Linked DNA regions of Daphnia pulex. The protein of the gene in region 1 purifies or fractionates together with the protein of each later gene. This does not show direct contact. Links are inferred from orthologs where the notes say so. Each region holds a gene or a part of one and is shown on either strand. Other genes may lie near its edges.

Evidence for each region.
Region 2: the proteins of DNA-directed RNA polymerase III subunit RPC8-like (region 1) and DNA-directed RNA polymerases I and III subunit RPAC1-like purify together in Homo sapiens (affinity purification with mass spectrometry; 5 studies listed by BioGRID and IntAct, counting the BioPlex papers as one, with this or other methods). This does not show direct contact. The link is inferred for Daphnia pulex from reciprocal best matches to the Homo sapiens genes POLR3H and POLR1C.

What each region holds. Positions count from the first base shown.
Region 1 is NC_060017.1:5,958,976-5,962,019, reverse strand, and holds DNA-directed RNA polymerase III subunit RPC8-like, read right to left. Parts: upstream 1,772-3,044; 5' UTR 1,600-1,771; coding exon 1,489-1,599; intron 1,426-1,488; coding exon 1,242-1,425; intron 1,182-1,241; coding exon 1,044-1,181; intron 968-1,043; coding exon 837-967; intron 745-836; coding exon 694-744; 3' UTR 629-693; downstream 1-628. Other genes in the region: cellular tumor antigen p53-like, read right to left, coding at 2,082-2,222, 2,296-2,584, 2,654-2,915, 2,983-3,044.
Region 2 is NC_060020.1:1,790,204-1,794,621, reverse strand, and holds DNA-directed RNA polymerases I and III subunit RPAC1-like, read left to right. Parts: upstream 1-1,617; 5' UTR 1,618-1,681; coding exon 1,682-1,774; intron 1,775-1,839; coding exon 1,840-1,911; intron 1,912-1,982; coding exon 1,983-2,223; intron 2,224-2,303; coding exon 2,304-2,423; intron 2,424-2,481; coding exon 2,482-2,664; intron 2,665-2,744; coding exon 2,745-2,861; intron 2,862-2,931; coding exon 2,932-3,054; intron 3,055-3,119; coding exon 3,120-3,232; 3' UTR 3,233-3,237; exon of another isoform or gene 3,238-3,266; intron 3,267-3,315; 3' UTR 3,316-4,150; downstream 4,151-4,418. Other genes in the region: uncharacterized protein LOC124192222, read left to right, coding at 1-278, 472-563, 625-860, 926-1,092; sodium/potassium/calcium exchanger 1-like, read left to right, coding at 4,278-4,388. UniProt on the Homo sapiens protein: DNA-dependent RNA polymerase catalyzes the transcription of DNA into RNA using the four ribonucleoside triphosphates as substrates.

The DNA of each region.
Region 1 (3,044 bases):
AAAACGCGTCGAACCGATTTGAAACCGAAACGACCGTTGGAGATTCAAAACAGCTTCGACTGCAATTTACACAACTTGTTTCTTGCTTGTTTAATTTGTCTTTTACATCGTTCAATACAGAATTTTAAATTATTTACACATGAAATTCAGAATTCAAAGTATCTCAAAGTTTCCAATTAAATAAGGCGAGGCGAATAAACTGTGAGAATTACAAATAATGAAGTTCGCCCCGAACACCATTAAAAAAGCGTTCACTTCGATTAAACACATTTGTTTCACAAACGGGTGTTAAATAATAATAGCTGAAATGCTGAATATTCAAGTTTATTTAACCTCAAAATAATTATTTTTACTCGAAGTTCATAAGATAAGTTCAACCGAATTAAACAATTTTTGCTGAACAGAAGAACATAGACGTATATCTTTGAATTGACCCTTTGCGTTAGTAGGAACATTTTTTCTTAAAAACAAATTTAGAATAAGGCTTTCGTTAAATGCATTGCATTTTAAATCAATGCATTTTCAGTTTTTCTAAAAGGACTGTCAAAAAGGCTGAGATTTTCCTATTTTTAAAAGATGGCCTGTGGTTCCTTCCTTACGATAAGAAATAAAGTGTAAATATCGAAAATTAGAAAAAACACATTGGTGAAGTTTATTGATTTAAATATCGCAACATTTCACAGCTTCAAGACTTCAGCTAGCCCACCAAGAGAGCAAACCTAATCCTGATTCATTGATAGATGCCTATAATTGCAAATAAACAAAACATTAAAGTTTTACACATGAAAGTAAAAGAAATTTAACTATAGTAATGTTTCGGATTTCAAATTACGCACATTTATGCGATACGACAACCTTTTATTGTCTTTTATTGGATCTAGAGATGAGTCAGGTGCTTCATTACTGGGGCCAGAAGGTGTTGTATCAATGAAATACTCAGCAACTACTTTAAATCGGATTTCTTCACCTAAAAGAATACAATTACAATCAACACAAAAAGATAATTATCATAAAATTATGCTGTTATCTGTTTTTTTATAAACCTGTATCCATGAAAAGGTCATGTTTTCCATCTTCTGTTTGATATTCCCAAATCCAAAGATGTTCAGTTTCATCAAATCTGGAGTTTTTTTGCAAGTTCTCAGAAGAAATGAAGATGTCCTCAAAGAATCCCAAAGAAACTTGATGCAAATTTTTGATTATGCACAACTGTTAATAACAAATGAATAATCTTCAGTTACCTTGGACTGATTCCTTATCACAGTTTTTGATTCTACCAACAAGAATCTGCTCCATAAAAGGCCTGAATACTACATAACGAAATTCAACTTTGGTATGATGGCCACCATCACCTGGCAAAATGAAACTTTCTCCTCGTTTAATTATATCCCACAGAGCAATGCACAGTCCAACATCCAGAACTACCTAAATGAGAACAAATATTTTACTAATAAATGCATATGTCAATCATCATAGGAATTTAATTACTTTATTAGCAAACTTTAAGTTCAATTCTTCCGAAATAGCTTGATCAATATCCCGATTGAATTTTTCTGAAGGAACTCTTACAGTCTGCTTGACAAGAGCTAGAACGAACATGGTTTAAACAATTAACTAATAAGCCCAAAGATTTATTTTGATTCAGTGTGGTCCGTCTGTGTGTTTCGTGTTTATTAAGCACGAACAAAGTCGTGAAACACCGGCTAAGCACGTTGTTTCTTTTAACTTCTACACGTGTAATGTCGTCTGCTACTCATGCAAGTGGGCGGGGCCGGGGTTACACTTTAAACCAGCTAGTCCAACTTGGCAACTTCCAACTCAACTCTAGTTCTAAATTCGAAGAATAAAATCTAAAAAATAATTAAATTTTCATTGAAAAATTCCATTAGAAAATGGATAATTTCTTTTAGTCATACTAAGTTTATTCGGCACATCATTGGCATGTTACAGAGTTACACGCTGTTAAATGAATTTGTGAAAAATCGGTTTAATTTTAATGATCATGCCAATAATTCAAGAAACATTAAAAAAGAATAAAACTGTATTTTGAAACGACTCTTTTTAAGGGAAGACTTCACGATTTAAGGCTCCTCTTTTTTAAAACGTTTCCCAGTATCAGTATGATTAGCCTGATCATTGTTTCCGGGGGGAAAGCCATCGTAGTCATGTTGAAAACGACTTATAATATCTTTGATGAAATTATAATTTTTGAGTCCTTTAATCTATATTTAAAAAATATTATTAAAATAGTGAATTAGTAGGACAATTGTGTTAAGTGATGATGAATAAAGTTACATTGACGTTCAAGTTGTAGATTCCGTCATCGTCTTCTGTCGAATCTGTTTGCGCGACCAGAGGAGGAGGAGGAGGAAGAACAGCTCTTCTTTTTTTAATTTTTCCTTTCAACTGGGCCATGGAAGGAAGCTCGATAGGAATCAAGTTTGAAGAGTCTGTTTCGCTGGCAGTGGGATCATGTGAATGCATTTTATCAAATCTTGCTTCTTCAGCCCTAATATCCCGACCGGGACAGCTACATATACGAACATCACAGGCATATCGTCCAAAAACCTCGTATCGTCCTCCACTAGAAGAAGAAATGTAATGTAGGAATGTAGTTTTAATAATTATAAAAATTCTCTCATGGACAACTTACTTTGTCACAGACTCTAATGTAAAGATCAGTTTGGTGGGTCGTCGGTTCAAGCCTCCTTGGCAGCTAGACAGGCACATGAATTTGTAACACAATGACACTGACTGGGTCCCGGGAGCAGGAGGCTTCAGTGGAACGACAACCGAATGCCGCATATCATTGTGATCGACATATGTTGAATCATTGTCATCACAACGCAATACATGTGGAGTATAGGGCAACGGTGGACCAGTCCCCTTGTGGGCTGGGCACCGTTCAACGGGATCTATAGGAAGAAAATTTAAATAAATTGTTAAAAGGATACAGAGAAACGTTTAAATGTTATTATTTGCCTTGAAAGTGATCAGCCTTTGAATACACCATTTGTCCCCGAATGCAATATCTGTGGAATTCC
Region 2 (4,418 bases), on another chromosome or scaffold:
GACTTGAATGTGATGAAGACGATGATGAAGACATTGAACCTGTCAATACTCAGAAAGACAGACCCCGTCGTAATCGAGCTTCGAAATTGGATGATGACGACGAAGAATTTGAACCTGTCAAAATCCCGGTTCGTTCGCGCCACACTCGTGCGTCGTACTTGGATAGTGATGACGACATTGCACCCGTCAAGACTACCGGTACCACGACCAGGGCGCGCTACAGTGCCGCTTCGTGTTTGGATGATGATGCTAACGGAGAACCCGTCATGAAACTAGAGGTAAATTTATTTGAGCGCTTTGTGAACCACCCACGTATTTTGCATAGCGTAGCATATCTTAAAAATAGTTTTATTCTATAGCTGATAGAATAAGCTCAAATTATTAGAAATTACCGTTGGGTTCTAAGTTTTGATTCTATAAGTTGACTACATTTTTGTTTGATCAATTAACAAACCATTAGCTCACTTTCAGGATATCGAAGAAGATTTACGCAAATTGCGTGAGGCGACTTCGTCAGTGCTCAATCGCTTCGCCACGAAGACCAACACCCAACCCTCTACTCGGTAACGAACAAATCAAATTTTCACGCAAATGAACCAGATGGTATTTAATGAATATCAATAGTTTGTCTCGTTTCTTTTCGAGCTATCTGAACGATGATAAGGATTACGAGAAGAGAAGCTCAAGTTACAGCTCTGATAGCTACAGTCCTAGCTACAGCAGCTCGTATGCCAGGCCGTCGTCGATAAAGCCGGTCGACTCTTCATCTTACGATCCGCCCGTCTACGATAAGCGCTACTCAATGTACTTGTCTAGCCGTTCCACTAACAAGGATTCGGATTTGGAAAAAGACGCAGCAGGTAAACCACATCCTCTACCAATTGTAATTTTTTTTGTTACCTGCAAATGAACTTCTTAATTACAGGAAAATCTGATCGAGGACCGATCCCGCAGGCAACAGCAGAACCGGAGTCGTATTCGAGACGTAGAACACCAAGGGCTTCAGCTTCAAGCGACGATAACAGCAAAATCAATTCACGAATTGCTGTCATGTCCAAATACATTCTTTCAAAGAATAAGACAAAAAATTAAATAAATGACAAAGACGAATACATTTTTTTTTTCATAGATGGTTCAGTCTCAGGATAAATGCCCCATTTATTCTCTCTCCTCCGAAAGAAATAATTTACCCATACATTACATGTCTGTAAAATGCTGACGTATTAGTTTAGTTCGGACTGTTTGATACGCCGAATATACTTCAGCTTATACCGTAAGTATCGCGCTAACATCCAAGCTAACTGTTTATATCGTGTACAGTTACTGTGTCTAACGTGTATGTGTTATTTGCCTCAGAAAAAATAGAAATATAAAAACTCAACAAATTCCTTGAAATACTATTGGAAATAGGATTTTCTTTTTTTGAGAGGAGGGTGTTTATTGGCTATCAAAATAATATTTAATTTCTTATTATTTACCTTTACCCTATAATATATGTCCGTTTGTTTTCTAGAAAAGCGGTTTCGATTTGAACTGAATTAAACTGAGAGACGGTGGCGAGACGGTGGCGACATCTTGCAGTAAATTTTAAAAATAAATAAAAGCAGACGACACTTTTCACAATAGTCATTATTTGCCAATTTTTCCCTCGTCCAGACACGTGTTAAAGCTCAACGGAAAAATGAGTAAAAGTAAAGTTAAATATTCATCAAGCAAGGAATACATTGATGAAAGTAGGAATGAACTCGTGCTGACAGAATTCGAAGTTCTTAATGTAATACTACATAACAGAAATCTTCCTAAGTTCAACCAAATTTAATAATAAAAATAACTATTTAGGCTGAAGCCACAGACTTCCCAGGAAATCATCATGGGTTTGACGACAGTTGGAGTTTTGAAAAGTTCAAAAAGGTTCTTCTAAGAAAAGTTCTACACTATAAGTAGATAAAAAGAGAGCATTACCATTTTTTCTGATTTTGTAGAGGCTCAAAATTAACATTGTCCGCATGGAAAATATGGAAATGGAGTTTGATTTGATTGGTGTTGATCCAGCCATACCAAATGCTTTTCGTCGTATTTTGCTGTCTGATATTCCCACCATGGCCTTCGACAAAGTCTTCATGTTCAACAATACCTCAATCATCCAAGATGAAGTCTTGGCCCACAGACTGGGACTGATACCATTGAAAGCTGACCCAAGATTGTTTGAATTCAGAGCTGAAGGTATACTCCAAACACCCATTCTTTTCTTTGTCACCTTACTTCATATAACTGAATCTTTGTTACCCCATCTCTCATTTTAGATGATGATACTGGGACTCCTGAAGATACACTTGAATTTGAGTTAAAAGTGAAATGTTCGTGGAATCCTCAAAGGACTAAAGATCATACAAATCCTGAACACTTGTACAGGGATTTCAGAGGTAAGAAGGGAAACTCAAACCTTTTTTTTTCGACAGAATGCTGACCTACTTTTTTCAGTTTTGACATCTCATTTGAAATGGATTCCACTGGGTGGCCAAAAAGATATCTTTACCCCTGATGCAGTTGGACCAGTTGACGATAACATTCTAATCGCAAAAATGAGACCTGGTCACGAACTTGACATCAAATTGCACGCAATGAAAGGGACCGGACGAGAACATGCAAAATTCTCACCCGTTGGTTAGTTTTATTGTTTTTTTTTATGATTAAGAATTTTTGGACCGAGATTTAAACAAAAACTATTTTTCTATTTTCTCAAGCTACCGCATTTTACCGTCTCCTACCACAAGTGAAACTTCTTAAGGAAGTGGAAGGTGAAGCTGCCCAAAGATTACAAAAGTGCTTTTCCCCTGGGGTTATTGATTTGGTCGACTCAGGTTTGCTACATACTATATTTTTTCTTCTAGCTTAATTAGTGTGAAGCACTACCTTTTTATTCTATTTCAGGTGAAAAGAAGGTTGCCAAAGTCAACGATGCCCGATATGACATCTGCAGCCGCAACGTATTCCGTCACGAAGATCTAAAAGAGGACACTGTAAAGCTGACCCGAGCACGCGACCATTTCATCTGTAAGTATTGTTATTGGATTTTTGCTTATTCCTTACTTTAGCGATGCATTTGAAAATGTGTTTAGTTTACATCGAGTCTACTGGAGCACTGGCGCCGGAGGTCCTCTTCACTGAAGCCGCCAAGATCCTGTCACAAAAATGCCGTGTATTTTTGGATGAATTGAAGAATGGACTGTAGGAATGGTATCCTAAATAGACGCGTTGATTCATGACGATTACGCATTATTAGTTCACCTGGAGGCGTTTGTGCCGTTGATATAGTTATCACCCAGGATTCCAGCCGAGTGACCCAGAACTGCATTTAGAAACCGAAACCGGAGCTTTTCAAACGGAAGGAAGGGAAGACTTATTTAAAAAATTTGAGGGGTGGAGGCGAGCAACTAATTCTTCCTGGTTTTACGGAAGGATACCTATCCTTTTTCATATGTTCCTTTCCATCGCTATTTTTATTTGCCTTCTGCAACAATGGCTTCTGTTTGTTTCGCTACTGGTTTTACGAAACGTTGGCGCTAGACTTGCTAGATAAGCTGTAGTAGCCTCTTATTGACCTTGGATCCTAAGGTTTTGATTGTTTTGGATGTGAACCGAGATGTTCCTCCTTCTAATGTTCTTCTTCCTTCCTTCTCACATTTTGTTTACACCGCCAATTCGTTTTAGCCCATTGTGGAATATGCGTAGGTGGTGCCAAGAAAGTCTAGGCAGATGAGATGAAGGAAATGGGAAGAAGAACAAGAAGTGTATTCTGTTTTGTTTTTTATCTCCTCTCCCTTTCTCTTTCCCTTCTTCTTCTTCCTATTTTCTTTTCTCTCTTTCTCTTAAGTCTATTTCTCATTGACCGTGGCATCTAAATTTAGTGCTCGTGGAAGCTTGTGGAAGCTTGCGAGCTTGTGGAAGAGTTTTGTTTCGGACGTAGAGCACTCGGGTCGCTTTCCATCTCCACGTTCACTACAAGTACAGTCGACGACGCACTCTGCTTGGTGGCCGGACGAAAGAAAAACCGTCTCCCTCAATCAAAAGACCCCTTTCCCCCATCTGGGCCGATCGTGAAGTTGTTAATTAGGGAGATCTTTTTTCTCATTTGGACTTGGCTGGACAACAGAAATTGGGTAAGAGAATGCCTCATATAAATTTATGCCTATGATTGTCTATTCATTTTTATTTCGGTTTTGAACCCCTATCGTTTCCTATTTTCATTCTTCGGATCCGGAGAAGACGATTACGCAATGGCAGGCTACTACTCCAGTCAACGAGGATATGGTGGCTCCTACGGTAGCTCCTATGGCGGTTCATCATCGTCGGCCTACACGTCATCCCTGCGTAGCAACTATATGCCGGTAAGTCTCCCATTATTGGGGCGGTTGAAA